6 linked regions of the Ovis aries genome follow. The protein of the gene in region 3 purifies or fractionates together with the protein of the main gene of each other region. This does not show direct contact. Links are inferred from orthologs where the notes say so. Each region holds a gene or a part of one and is shown on either strand. Other genes may lie near its edges. The genes, in order: NFKB2, RPS3, NFKBIA, RELB, ARRB1 and PSMA4.

Region 1 (4,246 bases), on a different chromosome or scaffold from region 3:
CAATTCCTAAGCAAGTTTTATTGCCCCTGACTTTCAAATCTACCTAGACTATGACCATTTCTCCCACTCTTACCTACTCCTACCCAAGTCTAAAGTCTCACAATGGGGTGGGAAGACCTGCTTTGCTTTATACAAATTTAGGGTGAAGAGCTTTGTGCTAGAGTTAAGAGACTGGGTTTGATTCTCACTCTGTCCCTTGTCAAGCCATGTATTTGGTTGTGTTACTTCTCCTCTCTGAGTCTTAACTTTATCAGTTTGGGCTTCCCTGGTGTCTCAGGGGTAAAGAATCCATCTGCCAATGCAGGAAATGCAAGAGACTCAGTTTCAATCTCTGGGTTGAGAAGATCCTCTGGAGAAAGAAATGGCGATCCACTCTAGTATTCTTGCCTGGAAAATTTCATGGGCAGAGGTAGTCCTGGCAGGCTACAGTCCATGGGGTTGCAGAGTCCGAGATGACTGAGCAACTGAGTACACATACATCTTCCCATAGTATCTGGCACATTCAATCTGCAGGCAAGATGAAGAGGGAAGTGACAGGAAATTACCCAAATCAAGGGCCACAATAGTCTCCCTTTATGCAGAGCTACTGCAGGCCTGTAATTCCATAATTAAGGTCAGGGGCAAGCTGCAGGCAAGATTTGAAACAACAGCCTATGTTCTACCATGGTGAGCCTAAGGGAGGACACCTCCAAAAATGGAGATTATTCATGGCACCTCCCGAAAAGAAATTCTATCAACCAGAAATGTCCAGCCCCAGAGGTCAATACTTTGTGAAAATCTGTACTGACCTTGCTGCTGCTAGAAGTATCTAAGCAGGCAGGGACTTCCCTGTGGTCCAGTGACTAAGACTTCACACTCCCAATGCAGGGGGCCCAGATTCCATCCCTGGTCAGGGAACTAGACACAATGAAGACAGAAGATCTCAACAAAGATCTCAGCTAAGACCCAGTGCAGCCAAATATATATATATTTAAAGTAAGCAGACATTGAAAACTATATAAAAAGGTAATTTCTTACATCAAAGGCATTTGAACTAATAATTTTGGATGACTTTTCAACTCTAATATTCCAAACTTCCGTGATCGATGAGCAAGGCCTGAGTCTCCCAGATAAATACCTCCTTTCCCTTATCCTCGGAAGACCTCCTGAGCTCAGGTCTGAAAGTCTGGCCAGCTGTTAACCTGTCATTTACAAAACAAGTTTCAGGTCCAGACACTTTCTTCCCGGGAAGACAGAGGATTATGGAGTCTCCTTGAGGCTCCAGAGGGGCCACCAGATGGCACTCTAGAACCTACTGCAAGATTAACTTCCTTCCTCTTCCTCTAAGTCTTCCCGGCAGCCGGGCCCCGCTCCGGGCGGGACCAGAGGGGCTGAGGCATATCAGCTTCCCCCTGGGGTTCCCCGACTTCAGAGGTGGCCGAGCATTAGGCGCAGCATAAAACCGAGTAGCAGCAGGGGCTGCCAGCCGGCTTGGACAGGCCTGGGTGTGAGGAGACCGGAGCCAGGTGCCTCGGCTGGGGAATGGCGCTCGGTCAGCGGATCCCGCAGCGGGGTGGTCCCCAGGTTAGAGCTAGTGCCTGTCTGAGGGTCATTCTCACTCTGGCTTCCAGAGCTACACAAATATTTCTCCTCCAAGGGGCGCCCCTGAGTCACTCCCGATTGGCTGTGTAAGTCCAGGAGTTAAACTTTCAGCCAATGAAAAAGGGCATGGCGAGTGACGCACGGAAACGTCACGGGAATTCCCCCCTCCCGGGGGCGGAAAAGGGGCTTTCCCGGCTGGAGTCCTGGTGGTGGGAGAGGTGTCGCGACCCGTCCGAGGTGGGTCCGGCCGGGAGAGAATCCTGAACCGGAGCCACCGCCGCGGTGAGTGGCCGGGTTCAGACCCCTGGGTGGTGGGACACCGGCAAGGGCGGGAGGAGGGTCCTTAGCTGACCGAGCCTTAGAGCTGAAGAGCGGCATCTGCGCATTCAGAGAGCGCGCATACGAACAGGACATGCGGATACACATCGATATCCTGTACAAAGATATGGGCCGTACGTCCATCTACACGTATGCCGCAGGTGCACAGGATCGCCCATGCATTCAGACTCGCACATACATGCATACGCAAAACACACTCACCCGTGCACAGGTGCCTGGACACACACCCTCCACGCAGAAACTCAACGACAGGTTCCCCTGTGCCCTCAGATACACGCTGACATGTGTCCACACTAATAAGCTTAAGGACTCTCACCTGTACACGCATGTCCACGCCATGCACACAATGCGCAAGCACATGGGCTGAAACATATTAGACACCTGTACAAGTGTTACATACGGCCATGGGACAGGGGCGGGGGCGGGGCACCCAAAGCAGGTGCGGTGTGGGAATCAACGACTGTTGAGATTTTCGGGAAGAGGGAATGGAGGTGCCCATCCCAACACCCCCTCCGGCCCCTTGGCCTCAGAGACTGCTTCTCGGGACAGAACCCCGGGGCCCTCTACTCGGAAGAGCCCCCACCTACAGGCCTTCGGGGTGGAGGCCTTCCTACAGCAGGAATGTCCCCCCAAAACCCCCCGGGGTGAATCAGCCGTGGCCTCCCTGAGGGTAGAAAATCCCAAGGTTGCTCCAGGAGGGGGAAGGCGGGGGGGCCGGTCCCCGGACTAGGAGCTTCCTCCGGCCTTGAAAGACCCCCAGTCCCCGGCGCCGGCCTGGAGAGAGGAGGGGGGTGCCCCCCCAACCCCGCGGGGCCTTCCCTGGGTTTGATTGCCCCTCTGCTTGCAGAGACGCTGCAGGCGCTCTCCGGCCAGCGAAGAGACGACCTCGCGCCCCTCCCGCCCGGGGGCGTGGTCAGTGGCGTCATTTCCAGGCCCGCCCCCTGGCCCCGCCTCCCCCTGGTATTTTCGGGACTTTCCTAAGCTGTTCTAACTTTCCTGCCCCTTCCCCGGCCTGGCCCAGCCCAACTCCGGATCTCGCCCTCCACCGGATCCTGCCCGCCACACCCGGACGGGTAGCTGGAGGAGATCGGACCCTCCCCTAAATTTGGGCCCCTCTCTCCCCCCAACTCCCGTCCTGATCTATCTCTCCCTACACCCGCCACTCCTCCCCACCTAAGGCGGGCGCCTGAAACTCTGGGAAACAGAACCCGGCCGAAGCCACCGGACAGAGCCGGGCCTAGCCCAGAGTCATGGACAGTTGCTACGACCCAGTGAGTCACGCCGCCTGGCCTCAAAGCCTGCCGGCTGCCCCCCTGTGCCTGTCTGCTTGTCTGCCTGCCTGTCCTAGTCCCTTCTACTCCCTTGCACCTCTAATGTCCTCAGATTATTTCACCCTGCCTGTAAGTCAGTCTCTGCAAACTGGTTTCAGTAGGAGCTTTTTTATGGGCCTGCCTAGGAGAGGGGGTGATTGCTAATGGTTTAGAGAGCTGAGAGGTGGAGGGTTCTGGGGGTGGCTCAGAATCAGCTGCCATCTCAGTCTGTCTCCATACCAGGGTCTGGATGGCATCATTGAATATGATGATTTCAAATTCAACCCGTCCATTGTGGAGCCCAAGGAGCCAGCCCCAGAGACAGGTTAATAAGTCCCCTGACCTGCCCTTGTCTTGGAGGGAGCGGGAGGGAGGAGGAGGGAGGAGCATGTGGTGTGTGTGCCCTCTGTCTTGGGAATGGGCTCAGAGGTCCTGGCTCAGCAAGGCTCCTCTGTCCCCAGCTGATGGTCCCTACCTGGTGATTGTGGAACAGCCTAAGCAGGTGAGCAAGTAGAAGGGATGGCTTCAATTTTGGGGGCAAGTGGGACAGTTGTAGCTGGGTGGCCACGGGCAGGGTAACTGATCACAGACCCACTTCGGGTTGGGATTGTTAGCAGCTGCTGATCACAGTGGCCTGGTGGTGATTCAGGATACATACGTCCAGTCATTATGGTCACTGCTGGCTGGGGATGTGGCTGGTGAGGGGGGATGTTTCTCCTGGTCACAATGTCACTCTGCCCTGGCACCTTCAGCGAGGCTTCCGATTTCGATATGGCTGTGAAGGCCCTTCCCATGGAGGACTGCCAGGTGCCTCTAGCGAGAAGGGCCGGAAGACTTATCCCACGGTCAAGGTGAGCCAGGGTGGTGCTGGAGGGTGGGCTAGTGGACAGTGTGTCCATGGGCATTACTGACAGCCCTCACCCTTCACAGATCTGTAACTACGAGGGACCTGCCAAGATTGAGGTGGACCTGGTAACACACAGTGACCCACCTCGTGCCCATGCTCACAGTCTGGT
Region 2 (4,041 bases), on a different chromosome or scaffold from region 3:
AGTAACTTTGAAATGTATCAAAAGATGCACTGTTGGGTGGATAGAGGCAAGGATAAATATCTGATAAAGCAAATACAGAAAAAAATGTTAATTGCAGCACCTAAGGGATGCATATATAGGTGTACACTGTATAGTTCTTCCAACTTTTCTGTATGTTTGAAATTTTTTGTAATAAAATCTGCGAGGGGAGATTTTTTTTAATTGAAAAAGAATTGCGAGCCATTATCGTAACTTCTGTTACAAGCTGTAACATACTTTATGAACGTGAGGTAGAGGTAATGAATTAATAATATAAAGTCCTAAAACAGTCCTTAGAATATTTAATACATATTATATATATATTATCAGTTTGCAACAGAGGAAGTGGACACAAATTGGAAGAGATAGGTGCCTCAGTGAATTTCTCTGAGGGCTTTCAGCCCAAAAGTGCTTTTACTTTTTTTCATTAAAGAATAAAGTTAGCAGATAAGTGTGTGTTTATACTTGGTTTTAAACTGATGAGAACTGGGCTCTAATTAAACTGATGAGAACTGGACTCTAAACTTCCCTGAATTTTTAAAGCTCTGATTGAGATATTGGCTCCTCTGTCTATGGGATTCTCCAGGCAAGAAAACTGGAGTGGGTTGCCATGCCCTCCTCCAGTGGATCTTCCTGACCTGGAGATCGACCCCTCATCCCTATGATCGACCCCTCACCACTCTCTCTCCTCCATTTGCAGGCGGGTTCTTTACCGCTAGTGCCACCTGGAAAGCCCAGGTTTCTGGATATTGTTGTTGTTCAGTCGCTCAGTTGTGTCCAACTCTTTGCGACCCCATGGGCTGCAGCACGCCGGGTTTCCCTGTCCATCGCCATCTCCCGGAGCTTGCTCAAACTCATGTCCATTGAGTCGGTGATGCCATCCAACTGTCTCATCCTTTGTGTCCTGCCCTTCTCCTCCTGACTTTAGTCTTTCTGAAGGCAGTATCAGGGTCTTTTCCAATGAGTCAGCTCTTTGCATCAGATGGCCAAAGTATTGGAGCTTCAGCTTCAGCATCAGTCCTTCCAATGAATACTGAGGATTGATTTCCTTTCTTCCCCAACACCTCACAGTTCAAAAGCATCAACCCTTGGACCGCGCTTTTCTCTTTCCTTTTACCAAAGTGAAAACTACACTTCCCATGAGCGCTCACAGGCGTCGACGTCGCGCAGTTCTTTGTCGTCGCACAGCGCCCTTTATACGCACTTCCGCCCGCTTGCCACTTCCTTTCCTTTCGGCGGCTCGCGTCGGCAAGATGGCCGTGCAAATTTCCAAAAAGAGGAAGGTGAGATCCCGGGGCCCGGTTGCAGGGAAGTGGCGTTTCGCGGGTCAGGAGCCTTTCTGGGTGCTATTGCGAGACTTATAGCTCTTCGCTATGCCCGGGGCAGCGGCCGGACTGTGTCGCTTTCCCGTGGGCTGCGGATGGCGGTGGATTGAGCGCAGGCCCGTGGCTGCTGAGAACGGTATGGCTGGGATAGGAGAGAAGGATTTCTGCCGGTTCCGGGCGGAGAGCAGAGATGAGCACTGAGGGCTCCTCCTGCCGTGGAGGAGCGCTTGTGAGCCTTTCTTAGTCAGTAGTTAGTAAAGTTACTAAATGTGATGTTTTGAATGCATGAGCCTTTCCCTCATCGAATGGTAGCTTTGAGAAAGGGAGGTAGCAGTGTTCGCTTGCCTTCTTCCTAGGCTTGTCTGGGTGCAGGCTTCTGACCCCAAGGACCTCAGTTTGGAAGGTTACTGACAATTTCTTGTTCTATCTTGGGGTCAAGGAAACGTTCTGGGGAAATAGAGGGAAGGGACCTGGGGGAAACGGTTTGATTATTTAAAACCCTTCAATGAAGAGGAGATGACGAGTCTGACTGGAGGTGTTCTCTTTGTCCAGGTGACCCCTACCCTGTGCCGCGTTCTGTGGCACAGTTTTAAGGGCCTGGGTCAAAGTTAACTTCCAAAAGATGACTTAGAGGCATTTGTCTGAGAAGGGTTGCTATGTTTTCTCTGGAACAAGGCAAAATAATTAATGATGGGTCGTTGGTTGGAGGTGTTGAATCTTGATTAGGGTTGCATTGACTGGGCTAGAAACCTGAGCCCATGTCCAGATCCTCATTTTCATTTTGCTTTTGGTTAGTTTGTCGCTGATGGCATCTTCAAAGCTGAACTGAACGAGTTTCTCACTCGGGAGCTGGCCGAAGATGGGTACTCTGGAGTTGAGGTCCGAGTTACACCAACCAGGACAGAGATCATCATCTTGGCCACCAGGTGAAAAATTCATTTTTCTGGCCATCACCTGTAATTGTTGTCTGCACTAAGGTGATTTCTTCTGTAAACGTAGCAGAACAACAGTTGAGTCATCGTGAATGAGTTTTTAAGCTGCATTTAAAAAAAAGATAATCTCTTAGTTCTTGTCATCCAAAATTTATGCTTTCTTGTGTCAGATGAATTAGATTTTTACTACCACACGTGTGCAAGGTTTAAAATTACATCTGTAATGTTATGAGAGCTGTGAATTGTCACTCTTCATTTTCCCCAGGACACAGAATGTACTTGGTGAGAAGGGCCGGCGGATCCGGGAATTGACTGCTGTGGTTCAGAAGAGATTCGGCTTCCCTGAAGGCAGTGTAGAGGTGAGTGATCCTGGCTTGTGCCAGAGGCTACTCTGGAGCTAGAAATGGCTCTTCAGGATGGTGCTGTGCTGTGCTTTGTCGCTCAGTCGTGTCCAACTCTTTGTGACCCCCATGGCCCCAAGGCTTCTCTGTCCATGGGGAGTCTTCCAGGCAAGAATTCTGGAGCTGGTTGCCATGCCCTCCTCCAGGGGATCTTCCCAACCAAGCGATTGAACCCAGGTCTCCCCACATTGCAGGCGGATTCTTTACCATCTGAGCCACCAGGGAAGCCCTCTTTAGGATGGTACTTCTGAAAACTCATATTATCACCCTGAAAGCTTACTTGTGATCAGTGAGTATTACAAATGGATTGGTATTTTGTTGAAGGTCTTTTAATAAGCAGTTGGCAGCAGTTTATACCTATCTTGGAATTAGTAATGATACATAGGAGAGGTTGGCTGCCCATTGATCTCCATGATTTGGCTGTGGAAAGAGGTGGGGGTGGGAGAAAAATGAGGAATGGTTCAGTTCAGTCTGCGTCCCTGAGTGTTTGTTAGATGTGGGCATTAGAAGTGCTTTAATACTTGGGTAGTACAGTGAAGGGCTTCCCAGGTGGCTTACTGGTAAGGAATCTGCGTGCCAATGTAGGAGACGCGGGTTCAGTCCCTGAGTCAGGAAGATCTGGAGGAGGGCATGGTAACCTTCACCAGTATTCTTGCCTGGAGAAGAAGAGGACCCTGGTGGGCTGTAGCCAATGGGGTTGCACACTCATCCACTAAATGAGAACAAATAGAGTGATACATAGAGGGGTGTCTGCTTGAATCATGAATGTGCTGATTTTTAGTTGAAAACGGTGGTGATGAGTGTAACAAGTTTAAGAATGTGCCTTGTTTTCTTTAAAGCTTTATGCTGAAAAGGTAGCCACAAGAGGACTGTGTGCCATTGCCCAGGCAGAGTCTCTGCGTTACAAGCTCCTAGGAGGCCTTGCTGTGCGGAGGTAAGAGTCCTTATGAATTGTGTCCTTTCGTGAATCAGTATATCAGCTATTTTGTTAATTTAGTAAGTGGACTCTGGACAGGCTCAGCTAGTCTCTGAGGGCTTTAACAATAAGACATTGTCAATCCATGTTGCAGCCTAGTTAGAAAGACTAGTAAAGACAAGTGTTTAAAAAAGCGAGTGGTGTTAGTAGAGCACGGTGGGAGTATGAATGTAGGATGGGGGTGGGGAATGGTTTGGGTTCATGTTGAAGTCATTCACATACATTGTGTGGTGGTAACTCTGGGGATTCAAGAGAGAAGACTCATTGCTGAGAAGAGAGCTTAAAATCTAGTCAGGTATGCCCAGTAGGTATTTATAGATAGTGATGTGAGGAACAGAGGACATGAGGTGGTTAGATTGGCCCCGGAGCTGGGCTTGCTGATAAGATTT
Region 3 (4,214 bases):
AAAAAGGCATGTTAAACTCGCAGGGCTTTTCCGAGGGTGCTAGGATGATGGGGTGGGCTGTTACTGGAAATAACTCAAGTATTCCTGGACCCCATTCTCTATACACTGAATGTAAATGAATTTCCTGGGCTGAGGGAGTTTTCCTTTAAGGATCCTCCTTCAACAAGAGCCAAAAAAAAAAAAAAAAAAAAGACATGCTCTTGGGATTCTGCTTACACATACTCAAGCTTGAGAGGCTCATTACATTGAGACCCTCAGGATAAGGAGGAACTCTAGGAGCCTTAGAAGGGGGAGGGAGAATGGCCTCTCTCCTTTCTTTTTGCAAAGCCATGAACAAGTTAATTGGGACTCACCTCATCTTCTGTGAACTCTGATTCGGTGTCATAGCTTTCCTCATCCTCGCTCTCTGGCAGTGTCTGAAGGTTCTCTAGGGTCAGCTGGCCCAGCTGCTGCTGTATCCGGGTGCTGGGGCGGCCCCACGTGAGCTGGTACGGGGAGTAGCCCTGGTAGGTGACTCTGTTGACATCAGCCCCACACTTCAACAGGAGTGACACCAGGTCGGGATTCTGCAGGTCCACTGCCAGATGGAGGGCAGTTCGGCCATTGCAGGGCTCCTGGAACCATAAGGAATTCAAGATGCTTATGGCTGAGTTTGGAAGTTCTGCTTGCAGCAAAAGCCCTCGTATTGAGGACCAGGGTGGCCTGATGTACCCCATTTGAAGGTGTGAGGCACTGACCTGAGCGTTGACATCAGCGCCCAAGGACACCAACAGCTCCACGATGCCCAGGTAGCCATGAATAGAGGCCAAGTGCAGACACGTGTGGCCTAGAAGACCAAAAGTAAGACAGTATTATAACTACTTGTTTCAACACTCATTTCTCAAGCAGAAGCTTTCACCTATTCTTTTTTTTTCTTCATTTATTATTTTCAATTGAAGGATAATTACAATATTGTATTGGTTTCTGCCATACATCAACATGGATCAGCCATAGGTATACATATATCCCTATTCTTTTGAAGGATACATTCTTAATTTGAAGAGCTCAGAATCTGGGTTCTGAATGGACTTTAGAAAGGCATCAACTAGGCCTTTATACATGTTTTCTCCATCTTTCATATGTTGAGAGCTTAGGCCTTGCTTGGCCTCCTTAAGTCAGCCTGCCTCCCCCGTGTCCACCTCACCTGCCCTCTGATGGGCAGGACAGCCAGACATACCATTGTAGTTGGTGGCCTGCAGAATGGAGTGGAGCTGCTGGGTTCCCCGGGGCTGAGTCAGGACTCCCACACTGGCCAGGCAGCCCTGCTCACAGGCAAGGTGTAGGGGGGTATTTCCTCGAAAGTCTCGGAGCTCAGGATCACAGCCAGCTTCCAGAAGTGCCTCAGCAATTTCTGGCTGGTTAGTGATCACAGCCAAGTGGAGTGGCGTCTACAAACAGAAGAGGGACAGAAAGGATAAGCCATGGATCCAACCCACCATCTGTGTTCCCTTGAACCCCAGAGATATCTTGGTTGTGGGTGCTGCTTTTCCCAGGCGCATACCAGGGGCAAAGCAAAATACCAGAGGCCCCAGATGGGCTTCATAAAGGCCTTCCCAAATCAATGGAATTTTGTGTTCTAGAATACTGGCTGACACAGGTGTAAAAAATCAGGGCAGATAATGCCCAAACCTTTGTTAATCTAGAAATCATGTGCAAGACCCGGTTTTATCTCGGGGTCAGAGCGGGAGAGAGAGGTACGCGGCGGGAGAGCAGTACCTGCTGCAGGTTGTTCTGGAAGTTGAGGAAGGCCAGGTCTCCCTTCACTTGGCGGACCACTTCCATGGTGAGGGCCTTCTCTTCATGGATGATGGCCAAGTGCAGGAACCTGAGGGGAAGAGAGGGAAAACCCCCAGGGCTGGTGAGTGCACTGCGTGGGGCCCGGGGAGGCGCGGCCCGCGGGGGATTGCGCAAGGCCGGGGTTTCTGGAGGCCGAGGCCGCGGTGTTTTCCGCGAGGTTATTATGAGCTGAGTGTTCCTGGCAGGCGCCCAGGGACTTTCCGGCCCCCCGCCCCCCCCGCGCTCGGCGGCGGGCGCCGGCCAGACCGCCCCGCCCTCTCGCCCGGCCGGAACGCCCTGTACTTCCCCTCCCGGCCGCGCGGCGCCCGCCAGCGGGGCAGAAACTCCCGCCCCCCCCTTATGCAAGCGGGGACTTCGCGTCCCCGCCGCCGCCCCGCCTCCGGCCGAGGGGACCCGCACGGGGGTGTGCGTGCGGGGGGTGCGCGCGGCTGCAACGCAGGGCCGCGGGACCACGGCCCCGGAAACCAGCGCCGACCCCCGACCCGCCCCCCCCGCCCCGGCCCCCGGCCCCGCAGGCAGCCGTGCACCTTTGCACAGCCTCGGGGTCGGTGCACGAACCCCGGTGCGCGGCCGCTGCGCGGGCCCCGCGCCTGGGGCTGCAGGCCCAGCGCCTCCACCCGGCCCTGCCACCCGGGCCCGCGACACTTACGAGTCTCCGTCCTCGGTGAGCTGCTGTTTCCAGGGCTCGGCGCCGCGCGGCGCCTCCTGCGGCTCGAGGCGGATCTCTCGCAGCTCCTTCACCATCTGCTCATACTCCTCGTCCTTCATGGAGTCCAGGCCGCTGTCGTGGCGGTCGTCCAGCAGCCTCTCCTTCTTGAGCGCGTCCCGGGGGCCCTCCATGGCCCAATCTTGGCCGGGCTCGGCAGGCTGGAACATGGCGCGGTGAAGGCTCGGGCGCTGCTCCCCAGTGCACGGGCCGCGGGCTGCGCTGCGCTCTGGCTGCTCTCGGAGTCGCGGGCGAGCGGGACGACGGGCTAGGACTGTTGTGGGCTCGGCAGCGCCGCCGCGGCGCCCTATAAGCGCTGGCAGGGGATTTCTCCGGGGCGGGGTCAGGCGCGGGGAATTTCCAAGCCAGTCAGACCAGAAAAGAGAACTGGCCTCGTCCTCTGCTAGGGGGAAAAAGAAGCCTAAACCCCGCGCCCGAGTTCATCAGAGAAACTCCCTGTGATGAGCCACTGGGGTCATGTACAGGGAACTTTTTGATGAACGCTGAGTGGCTGGAAAGTCCTCCTGACCGGGCCCCCTCCCCGGGTACTTCCCTGCAACCTGCACGCAGTAATCCTGGCCCTCTGCAAGAAGCTCTCTTTCCCTGGGTTTTCCCGATTTGATCGATTTGATTTAGGGTCGTCAGCTGCTGAGATCCCAAAGACGCAGGCCTGCAGGCTGGTTCTTCACTGGGGTTTACCGACCTGCAGGTCTTTTCCGGTTTTTTTTTAAATCTTTTGAAAACGCGAGTGGAAATGTTGGCCGGGTGTAGGGATTCACTTCCCCAAAGCTCTCTGCGGGGAGGACGCACTGGTCGGTGGAAGGTGGCTGCCTCTGCCTTCCTGCCAGTACCAGGCTCTTAGCATTGTAGGCACCGGCTGAATAGCCAGCCCCAGCCCACTCTCCACTCCCACCCCCACCGCCCGACCCCCGGGTAGAAGTTTCTAAAGCTTTTGGCATTAAAAGCCTAAATGATTGCTGCTACTGCTGCTGCTAAGTCGCTTCAGTTGTGTCCGACTCAGTGTGACCCCGAGACAACAGCACACCAGGCTGCCCCATCCCTGGGATTCTCCAGGCAAGAACACTGGAGTGGGTTGCCACTGGGGAACCGTCAAATCATTTCCTTGGGATTATCAATCCTGTTGACTGGAGGAGAGGCAAGCACTCTGCCCTGTATGCAGGAAAACGGTGAAAACAACCATGGTATTTTTCAAGGAAAGCAAGGTATGAGTCTTTGTAGCAGAGGCTGTAAATCCCTTGAAGTAAGGAAATAATTATGGAGGTCGGGTTCCCTGCTCTGCACTGTGCTGCTGCAGGGAACAGACCCTGAGCATACTTCTGGGTCCTCTGCTGGGTGACTTTGCAGAAGCATTTGGGGAAGGTGGCTGAAGAATGGGTAGAGTAGTGCCTTATCCAAGATGAGGCCTTATGGATGGCTAAGAAATTAGCTGCCAGGCATAGTGCAGGAGGCTCAAGGCAGCCCATGGTGCCCTTCATCCTGCCTCTGCTGGCTCCTTGCTCTCCTGCCTGGGAGAGACATGCATGGGACCCATGCTTGCCATATGGGTAGCCACTCCAGGCTCACCACCCTCCTCTCACCTGCAGAAATAGAACCTAGGCTCTCTGCGCCCCCCCCACCTCCTAGTCAATGAGAGGTATGCATTCATCTATTT
Region 4 (3,500 bases), on a different chromosome or scaffold from region 3:
TGGGAATACCAGACCACCTGACCTGCCTCCTGAGAAATCTGTATGCAGGTCAAGAAGTTAGAACTGGACATGGAACAACAGACTGGTTCCAGATCGGGAAAGGAGTATGTCAAGGCTGTATATTGTCACCCTGCTTATTTAATTTATATGCAGAGTACATCATGAGAAACGCTGGACTGGATGAAGCACAAGCTGGAATCAAGATTGCCAGGAGAAATATCAATAACCTCAGATACGCAGATGACACCACTCTTATGGCAAAAAGTGAAGAACTAAGCCTCTTGATCAAAGTGAAAGAGGAGAGTGAAAAAGTTAGCTTAAAACTCAACATTCAGAAGACTAAGATCATGGCACCTGGTCCCATCACTTCATGGCAAATAGATGGGGAAACAGTGAGAGACTATTTTTTTGGGCTCCTAAATCACTGCAGATGGGGACTGTAGCCATGAAATTAAAAGACGCTTGCTCCTTGGAAGGAAAGTTATGACCAACCTAGACAGCATATTAAAAAACGGAGACATTACTTTGCCAACAAAGGTCCGTCTAGTCAAAGCTATGGTTTTTCTGGGTAGTCATGTATGGATGTAAGAACTGGACTATAAAGAATGCTTTTGAACTGTGGTGTTGGAGAAGATTCTTAAGAGTCCCTTGGATTGCAAGGAGATCCAACCAGTCCATCCTAAAGGAAATCAATCCTGAATATTCACTGGAAGGACTGATGCTAAAGCTGAAACTCCAATACTTTGGCCACCTAATGTGAAGAACTGACTCACTGGAAAAGACCCTGATGCTGGGAAAGATTGAAGGCGGGAGGAGAAGGGGACGACAGAAGATGAGATGGTTGGATGGCATCACCAACTCAATGGACACGAGTTTGAGTAAACTCCATGAGTTAGTGATGGACAGGGAGGCCTGGCATGCTGCAGTCCATGGGGTTGCAAGGAGTCAGACACTACTGAGCGACTGAACTGAACTGAACTAAAGGCTGCAAGTGGAAAACACTTCAGGCAGGAGGAACAGCAGTAGCGAAGGCCTGATGGCTGGATGGTGGGGAGTGAGGGGGCTGGGTGGGAGTGGGCAGCAGAAGCTGGACCAGGCAAGGTCTTAGAGGGCCTTCCCTGGTGGTCCGGGGACTAAGATTCCATGCTCCCAATGCAGGAGGCCTGGGTTCCATCCCTGGTCAAGAAACTAGATCCGACATGCCACAACTAAGATGGAAGATCCCACGTGCTGCAACTAACACCCAGAACAGTTAAATAAATAGATAAATCTTTTTTTTTTTAAAGAAATAAGCAAATGTCTTCAGAGGCCCTGGGGAGGATCCTCCCCAGGAGGATCTTGGGCCTCCTCCTGAGGGCACTCCGGAGACAAAGGAGGATTCTAAGCAGGGGAGAGGAGCAGATGTGTAATTTACCAGCACCTCTCTGGCTGCCTCAGTGAAGCGGGGAGGGAAATCTGGGAGGGGACTGAGAGCTGGTCACCAGGGAGAAAGCTGGAGGTCAGGGAGCAGCTGGGCCTGGATTCGGCCCTAGTGGGATGGTGAGGACACAATTCAGGCTCCACAGACACTTGGGCAAAGATCCAGAAATACAACAAGGCTCCGTATTGGAGAGGCATGAGGCACCGGGCCTCTCAGACATCACTGGGAGAGACAGTCATGGGTGCAACCCCCGAGGAGGGCAACTTGGCAATGGCTGTCAAGTTGCCTTTGATGGGCAATCCCGCTTCCAGAAGTTTGGGGATCTTATTTTACTTTTTTTTCCCCATGCCACACGGTTTGCAGAATCCTAGTTCCCCAACGAGGGATTGAGCCTCAGGCCCTCAGGTATGAAAGCAGAGCCCTAACCCCTGGACCACCAGAGAAGTCCCTGTTACCACATTTTGTAGAGAAGGCACAGAGGGACTGAGTAACCTGCCCGAGGCAGCAGAGCTAGCAGCTGGTGGAAGCAGGATTCGAACTCAAGCACTCTGATTCTTACCGTGAACCAGGAGGCTACACAGCCTTTACAGCAATAATGACTGTGATCGATCCTGTCATATTCCCAGGAAGAAAGTCTTTCTTTGAAAACTCTTTAAATTTAATGCCAAGTAACAGTGGTATCTGGAGAAGGAAATGGCAACCCACTCCAGTATTCTTGCCTGGAGAATTCCATGGACAGAGGAGCCTGGCGGGCTACAGTCCATGGGGTTGCAGAGTTGGACATGACACACACCCAACAGTGGTATCATCAACCCTGGCAGTAGCAACAACAATAATAACCACTGTAGGGACCTCTCCCTTGGCGCAGTGGCTAAGAATCTGCCTGCCAGTGCAGGGGACAGGGGTTCAATCTCTGGTCCGGAAAGATTCCACATGCTGTGGAGCAACTGAGTCCGAGGGCCTAGAGCCCCTGCTCTGCAACAAGAGGCCACCGCAATGAGAAGCCCGCACCACAGCTAGAGAGTAGCCCCCACGCCCGGCAACTAGGGAAAGCCCACAGCAAGGAAGACCCAGTGCAGCCAAAAATAAATAAATAGATGAAATTCAAAAACCAATCATCATCATCATCATCATGATGAAAATGCACGAATAAAGAAATTCGCGTGTGTGACTCCTGGGGGCAAGAGAATCGCAGTCCCCACCCCACCCCCCGCCTCCCCCTATTCCCGGTGCCCAGCCCCCTCTGCCTACCTCGATGGCGGGCAGCGTCTTGCTGGCTTCGGTGCTGCTCTCTCCAAGGATGCTGCCGGCCGAGCGGCCCTCGCACTCATAGCGGAAGCGCATGCCGCGCTGCTTGGGCTGCTCGGTGATAACCAGGTGCGGCCGCGGCCCGGCGCCCGGGGCCGGGGGCACCAGCCGGCCCAGGGTGCAGTTCCAGGGCGGCGGCGTGGCCGGGGGCGGGGGCGCCGCGGGGCCCAGGGTGACGGTGCTCAGGGAGGCCGCCCCGCGAGATACCAGGCGTGGCAGCCCCTCGCCCGGGCCAGGCTGCGCCCCCTCCAAGCCGAAGCCATTCTCCTTGATGTACTCGTCGATGATCTCTGGGGGAGAAGCCAAAACTGGGGGTGACGCTGATAGTTAAAAGGCTTGTTTAATCCCCTGACTTTTGCCACCCTCTCCACTTCCCGTCCATTCGTTTCTTCAAGACAGATTTCTTGTGGGTTTCACATACACAGAGTAGGGGCTTCAGCTCTGAACACACAAAAAAGCCCCTGCCTTCCTTCTTGCAAATAGACCCCCAGCGTGCCCAGTTCTTAAGGCCCTGAGGGTGGGCCTGGTTTCTCCTTCTCCTGCACCCTCATGTCCACTGGCCTCCGAAACAGCTCCTGCACCCACGCCTTGATCACCTCTCACCTGGATCAAGGTAAGACCAGGTCACAGGCACCCCTGCCTCCATCTTGCTCCATTTAATAACAAGAATAACAGCTACTCTGCCGAAGCTTCATCTCAGAAAGGAGCATCACCGTCCAGTGATCAAGCTGGAAGGATGCCAAGTTTGTCAGTGGCTCAGGATCCCACATCC
Region 5 (3,500 bases), on a different chromosome or scaffold from region 3:
CAAAGTCCATCCCAGGAGGGGCTGAACTGAAGAGCTGAGATCCAGCTTATATAATAAAACTTGGCCATCTGCCTTTTCACAAGTATGGGACACAGACAGAAAGGAGGAAGAGATCCCCTTGCCCTGCTAATCAATACATCTGCTTGGATATGAGGCAAACTTCAGGACATCCAAAGAGGGTGTGAAGTAGTACCGTGTCTATCGCAAGCTCTCCTCCCCTCCCCCTGCCACGCCTCAGCAAATACAAGCAAATACAATACCTTCTGTAATACTTGGTCCCTAGGGCCAAGCGGCTCATGCTAACTACAGCCACAGCTTGACATCAGGCAACCCTTCACCCTGGCCCAGTCTAGGGACCTTAGAAGGGCCCTTCTTCGGCCTGGAGTGGGTGTAGGGTGGTGGTGCTAGGTGCTGTCTATTGCCCCACCACCCCTCGGGTTCAGTGATCCTCACTGGTGGCAGACAGACCAGAATCAGTGGTTCTGGCTCCACCCACCAGACCAGAAACTCTAATGCTCACAAATTCTTGGAGGCAGAGCTGGGAGGGCCCCTTGTGATCATCTGCTCGAACCCCTTGGTTTTCTAGGTGAAGTACTGAGGCCCAGAGACGGAAAGGAACTTGCCCAAAGTCACACAGCAGTGAGCATCAAAGGTCAGAGAAAAACAGTTAACTTTTAACACTTTCTGCCTCATCGTCTGCCTGCCCCGTTGCCCTGGAAGTATGCCCCATGTCCTAATCACACCAACATCAGCCCATGGGTACTGTACACCCATGACAGTGGGAATCACTGTGTGTGTGTGTGTGTGTGAGTGTGTGTGTATTGGCGGGGGGTGGTCATCAGCTCCCCAAGGAAACAAAAGAGTCCCTCTTCCTTTTAGGTAAGGACAACTCAGTGGACCTTGCTACCTTCTATGGAAGGACCCCCTTTGACTGTGGGCACGGTGGTCTCAGGGGCTCTCTTCCAGTCCAGCCCTGGAGACCTGCAAGGGCAGGAAGACATTGGTGGCCTCAATCGTTCTGGCCCTTCAGTCTTGCTTCCCACCAGATCGCTGATCCCTCTTAAGGAAGGGAGCTGGGCAGACTCTCATCTTCTCACCCCACCCCCATCTCATAGTCACCCTTCAGGACACCTCCTCAAGACCTTGGTGCTTTCCGAAGGCCCCTCCCTTCTCTCTGTCGCACTCTGTGCATATCTGCGGATGACACACAGGCAAGATACAGGCAGCTAGGATATTACATCCTGATGATACTGACATAGACTCGGGCTACTTCACACGACTTGCCTTAGACTAGGTAACTGCAGGTAAGAAAGTCAGCCCAACTGCTTTGCTCCATTCCTGGGGTCTACAAACCTTCACCAAGGTCACTGTCAGTCACAGAGGGACGGGGGCAGGGACGAGGGAGGAAGAAGACAGGTGTTTGGTGGGTCCGAACTTCGAGCAAAACTGTGTGGAAAATCTATCCATGGGCCTGTCCCCTCCCAACCAGAGGAGGGTGGCCTTCAAAGCGGTCATGTTTTAGCTGCCAGAACTGTATTCATCACCCGGGACAGTGGCCTCATCCTCTCACGTGTCTTGAGCCTCCATCCCCACCCCGCCAAGCCCTTGTGCCCCATCTTCCCCTTTCTGCTCCCCATCCCAAGTCAAATTCTAAGGCCAGAGCCGTGCTGGCCTGTCTAGGGGTCAACAGGAAAAGAGGAGGGATGGAGAAGTGATGCGGTGAGAGGGTGAGGGTGTTGCCTGTGGCCCAGTTGGCATGGTGATGGGGGCCAATCCTGAGGCCAGGGGTTCCCATCGTGACCTGGAAGACCGCTGGGCCCCCTGGTAGAAACTGGAAGAACAAAGGGGAGGGGGAGTCAGGACAGGAAGAAGACGAACAAGCATCCTAGCGCATGAGAGTGGACCTGGAGCTGCCCGGAGGGAGGGCGGCTCCAGTCTATCTGTCGTTGAGCCGCGGAGAGCCGGTACCATCCTCCTCTTCCTCCTTGTCATCCTTCATGCCTTTTAGTCTCTGGCGGGCAAAGTCCTCAAACACAATGTCGTCATCGCTGGTGGGAAAGACAAGGAAAACAGGCGTGTTTGCAGGGCAGGGAGAGGAGGTTTACTCAGAGGGGTCGGAGGGCCTGCACAGCCCAGCAGGACCCAGAGGCCGGCCTCTGGGACTGGTCTTGGATAGAAAGGCCTGCCAGGCCAGCACATCTGGATGCCCATCAATGACAGTGGGACCAGCCAGTTGCAGAAATACCAGAGGGAGGCCTGAGTTTGCTAAGGGCTGGAAATCGACCCAGCTCTTGAGAAGCTGGGGTTCAGGCACACATCAAATTGTGGGTGGGGGCGGGGAGTGAGGCAGGGTTAGGGCCAGAGGAGGAACTTATTTCCACAAAGAGGCCAGGCCGACAGCAGTTTCACAGCATATTCTGAGTCCCCCAAGAACACGCCCCCACCCAAGAACTACCCTCAGGAAGCATTCCTGTTTTCTGAGAAAACCCCAAAGGCCCTTTCTCCAAGGAAATGTCAGCTCACATTCTACCCTGAGGGATATTGGATACACAGGGTCTGTGGGGGCTGGGGTGGGGGCTAGGCAAAGCCCAATAAGGGTGGGGAGCAGAAAAAATATGAGTGGAGAAAGAGGGTGCCTGAGAGGGGTTCCAGAGGGGCTGCCTCTAAGAACAGTGAGCTCCCTTCTACTAATAAAACATGTCCACATGGGCCCACTCTCCAGGCCCCAGCCCCACAGAATTCAGCCAACTGCACGGGGTATCCTCCATGGGCTGACTTAAGACCCGACACATCTCCTAGAGGACAAAGGAAGCATAGATTTGGAGCTGGAGCGAGAAAGCTGCTTGGACCTGGAGGTGGTTCATGTTTGCCCAGGTCCTCCCCTCTGGCCACTGTCCTGTGAGGTGACAGCCTTTGACCACAGGGCCATCCATACTGGTCCTCACGAGTCAGAAACAAGAAGATCCCCAGAACCTTCCCCACCCCACAGCCTGATTCCACTGGCTGGACACCAGCCAAGTAGGAGGGTCCCAGCCCAGGGCCACAAACCAGCCCTGTGACAGCCGAGCAGGTGCTGTGGATGGACGAATGGACTGACGGACTGACGGACGTGCAAGGACGAGGGAGGAAGACAGACCCCACCAAGGCAGGAGGAAGAGGAACAGGCACCGAGGGTCCTTCAAGTCACATGCAGGCAAGCGGGTTGCTGAAGAGGCGAGCAGAGGCAGCTCTCAGCAGATGGGTTAGACCACTGCTCCTCGGGGTTAATTAGCATAAATGCATATAACCAGGCAGCCCCGCCCACCTCCCAAGGCCCACCCCGCCCATGTCTGCAGGCAGGGTTCTGCTTACTTGGTGTCAAGTTCTATGAGATTGGTATCTACTGGCGTCTCGTGCTCTGGAACTAAACACAGGGCAGATGACCGCCCACGGGTTACTGGCGAGTGAGTGAGGGGGCAGGTGGGCACAGGTCCTCACCCCGGGACAACTAAGCTAAGGTA
Region 6 (2,402 bases), about 15 Mb from region 3:
CTTGGGTTAAATCTAGGTTCCACCAATACAAGCTGTGACTTCCATACCTGTTGTTTAACTTCTCTGGGCCTCCAGTAGAGCCTACTGGAGTGATCGTGGCAATTCAGTGACATAAAATGAATGAGTGAAATAAGCTAGCACAGTGTTAGGAATATAGGAGGACCTCGAGGTATTGTTTAGAATGGTTACAAGGAATTAGTTTTAATTATACTGAATCTTACCAAAGACCACGCCTCCTGGAAGTCTTGGAAAAGGTTAGACAGGGCCTGTACACTAGTGATATTTCTGATATACTTGGGTGTTCAGGACTGCAGCTAACAGAGAGCTGGATTTGCTGATTGGAGACCCTCCCTTCTGTGGTACACCATGTGAATGTTGGCTATAGGGCCTTATTGATACACGCACCCCAGAAAGTGTCATCCCTCCACAGAGTCACTGTTGGGCCCTCTCAAGCAGCCTGCAGGCTTGATTGGGCACAGTGCCAGAGGAGTCTAGGCTGTAGGAGGTCCAGGGCAGCCTTCAGGAAACGGAGGGTAGATAAAGAAAATGCACCCCTCCCAGCGAGCCTGGCCCTGGGCTTCCTTGTCAGGCTCAGAAATATCCTGCCCTTTGGGTCCCTTCACCTTCACCCCCATCAAGTGAGGCCTTTGAAAGAGTACTTATACCCAAGAGTGTGAAGTAGTCTGTCTTCCTGTCTGGCAAAACATTTTTCTTCCTTGTGGTTGAATCTTGTTGGGATTTACCCTAGCTTCCTAGTGTTTATTCTCTTGCCCTGTTCACAGGGTGGTGATGGTAAATACATCTGTTGTGAAGATCAAGGGTGCATTTGTTTATCTTATGTATTGAATGACGTCAAATTGAAAGTTTCCTACAAAGATAAAACTCACGTAGTTTTTGCCTGAAGGGTGTAGCAACTGTGAGTAAGCATGGTGAATTTCTAATAGAATTTAGTGTATTTTAAAACTTGTAAAATACCTCTGGCAAACATCCTCCCTAATTACAGATAAATGTGTTTCTCTTCTGCAAGGGATATGGCCTGTAGTGTGGCAGGCATAACTTCTGATGCTAATGTTCTCACCAATGAACTGAGGCTCATTGCGCAAAGGTATGGTCATAAATAATTGATATGTAAAGTTAGTTTTGATGTTTCTATGAAGAATGCATTTTTTTAAAGTTTAAAGGCATTAGAAACCTATTAACTGAAAATTACAGTTTGTTTATTTCTTTAACCAAACTTGTAAAATATTTGGTTGGCCAAAAAGATCATTCATCTTATGGGAAACCTGAACGAACTTTTTGGCCAACCCAGTATTGTTTACAGTAAGGTTATTAAGCGTTGCCATACCCTCTACCCTCCCCCTTCAGATCACAACTATTATGTTGTCCCCATGGCAGAGATTTTTTTAAAAGGGTATTTTGCTTAGAGTGTGTAGAGTGTTTTAGAGAAAACTATTAATATGCCAGTTTCTTTATCCTAGGTATTTATTACAGTATCAGGAGCCAATTCCTTGTGAGCAGTTGGTCACAGCACTGTGTGATATCAAACAAGCTTATACACAGTTTGGAGGTACTGAAACCTTTGGAAATTTCATTCCCAAAAGTTAAAACGTTTTATGAGTAATAACCTTTTTGAAACAGTAAAAAGAAATTGAAAATGAAATAAGTAGACACTTCATACATTCCAGCTTCATGAACTAACTGGCTTCCACTATGTAGACTATCAAACATTTTATTAATAGATTACTGAAAGGCCGAAATAACATTCTAAAATCAGAAAACAAATGACTTTTTACGTAATATTAATGGTATTCAGCACTGGTCGTCTGTGTATTCCCTCTCCTCACTGCGTCCAAATCCTAGAAACAAAAGTGGAATTTCTGATGGAGCTTATCTGTGGTGGCCAGAACATGAGCAGTTTATGAATGCTTAACTTCACAGAAGAGGGGTTAGCCACATTCACTGCGCTCAACTAACCATAGTGATGCTAAATTTAGAGTGTTGATACGTGTGACTTTGTTTTCTCTGTTAAAGGAAAACGTCCTTTCGGTGTTTCATTGCTTTACATTGGCTGGGATAAGCACTATGGCTTCCAGCTCTATCAGAGTGATCCTAGTGGAAATTACGGAGGTTGGAAAGCCACATGCATTGGAAATAATAGTGCTGTGAGTATTTTTGTGTTGCTGTAAAAATCTAGCAAAAGGTCTAATAACTGCCATAATTATGAAGTAGTGATGAGTGTAAACAACATTTTAAGGTAGCTGCAACAAACTTAACATGATATGAAAATCTCTGTGATTTCTGTTGGTGACAAAGTCACAGGTAGTACTAATACTGCTAGGATTTATAACCTACAGTAATAATGAAAGGAAGTACCAGTTTCCAGTTAGAAGTTGTGAAAATAA

The links.
Region 1: the proteins of NFKBIA (region 3) and NFKB2 purify together in Homo sapiens (affinity purification with mass spectrometry; 6 studies listed by BioGRID and IntAct, counting the BioPlex papers as one, with this or other methods). This does not show direct contact. The link is inferred for Ovis aries from reciprocal best matches to the Homo sapiens genes NFKBIA and NFKB2.
Region 2: the proteins of NFKBIA (region 3) and RPS3 purify together in Homo sapiens (affinity purification with western blotting; 4 studies listed by BioGRID and IntAct, with this or other methods). This does not show direct contact. The link is inferred for Ovis aries from reciprocal best matches to the Homo sapiens genes NFKBIA and RPS3.
Region 4: the proteins of NFKBIA (region 3) and RELB purify together in Homo sapiens (affinity purification with mass spectrometry; 4 studies listed by BioGRID and IntAct, counting the BioPlex papers as one, with this or other methods). This does not show direct contact. The link is inferred for Ovis aries from reciprocal best matches to the Homo sapiens genes NFKBIA and RELB.
Region 5: the proteins of NFKBIA (region 3) and ARRB1 purify together in Homo sapiens (affinity purification with western blotting; 3 studies listed by BioGRID and IntAct, with this or other methods). This does not show direct contact. The link is inferred for Ovis aries from reciprocal best matches to the Homo sapiens genes NFKBIA and ARRB1.
Region 6: the proteins of NFKBIA (region 3) and PSMA4 purify together in Homo sapiens (affinity purification with western blotting; 3 studies listed by BioGRID and IntAct, with this or other methods). This does not show direct contact. The link is inferred for Ovis aries from reciprocal best matches to the Homo sapiens genes NFKBIA and PSMA4.

Annotation. Positions count from the first base shown.
Region 1 is NC_056075.1:22,788,547-22,792,792, forward strand, and holds the start of NFKB2 (nuclear factor NF-kappa-B p100 subunit), read left to right. Parts: upstream 1-1,446; 5' UTR 1,447-1,563; exon of another isoform or gene 1,564-2,880; intron 2,881-2,909; exon of another isoform or gene 2,910-3,098; 5' UTR 3,099-3,170; coding exon 3,171-3,191; intron 3,192-3,473; coding exon 3,474-3,555; intron 3,556-3,691; coding exon 3,692-3,732; intron 3,733-3,982; coding exon 3,983-4,081; intron 4,082-4,160; coding exon 4,161-4,246. UniProt on the Homo sapiens protein: NF-kappa-B is a pleiotropic transcription factor present in almost all cell types and is the endpoint of a series of signal transduction events that are initiated by a vast array of stimuli related to many biological processes such as inflammation, immunity, differentiation, cell growth, tumorigenesis and apoptosis.
Region 2 is NC_056068.1:53,317,636-53,321,676, forward strand, and holds the start of RPS3 (small ribosomal subunit protein uS3), read left to right. Parts: upstream 1-1,241; 5' UTR 1,242-1,271; coding exon 1,272-1,301; intron 1,302-1,843; exon of another isoform or gene 1,844-1,993; intron 1,994-2,138; coding exon 2,139-2,269; intron 2,270-2,540; coding exon 2,541-2,634; intron 2,635-3,515; coding exon 3,516-3,610; intron 3,611-4,041. UniProt on the Homo sapiens protein: Component of the small ribosomal subunit. The ribosome is a large ribonucleoprotein complex responsible for the synthesis of proteins in the cell. Has endonuclease activity and plays a role in repair of damaged DNA.
Region 3 is NC_056071.1:43,394,548-43,398,761, forward strand, and holds the start of NFKBIA (NF-kappa-B inhibitor alpha), read right to left. Parts: upstream 2,801-4,214; 5' UTR 2,713-2,800; coding exon 2,486-2,712; intron 1,865-2,485; coding exon 1,756-1,864; intron 1,428-1,755; coding exon 1,217-1,427; intron 827-1,216; coding exon 738-826; intron 615-737; coding exon 354-614; intron 1-353. UniProt on the Homo sapiens protein: Inhibits the activity of dimeric NF-kappa-B/REL complexes by trapping REL (RELA/p65 and NFKB1/p50) dimers in the cytoplasm by masking their nuclear localization signals.
Region 4 is NC_056067.1:52,491,192-52,494,691, reverse strand, and holds part of RELB (transcription factor RelB), read right to left. Parts: intron 3,019-3,500; coding exon 2,672-3,018; intron 1-2,671.
Region 5 is NC_056068.1:53,205,181-53,208,680, forward strand, and holds part of ARRB1 (beta-arrestin-1), read right to left. Parts: intron 3,404-3,500; coding exon 3,352-3,403; intron 2,049-3,351; coding exon 1,937-2,048; 3' UTR 1-1,936. UniProt on the Homo sapiens protein: Functions in regulating agonist-mediated G-protein coupled receptor (GPCR) signaling by mediating both receptor desensitization and resensitization processes.
Region 6 is NC_056071.1:28,737,446-28,739,847, forward strand, and holds part of PSMA4 (proteasome subunit alpha type-4), read left to right. Parts: intron 1-1,027; coding exon 1,028-1,105; intron 1,106-1,478; coding exon 1,479-1,567; intron 1,568-2,031; coding exon 2,032-2,162; intron 2,163-2,402. UniProt on the Homo sapiens protein: Component of the 20S core proteasome complex involved in the proteolytic degradation of most intracellular proteins. This complex plays numerous essential roles within the cell by associating with different regulatory particles.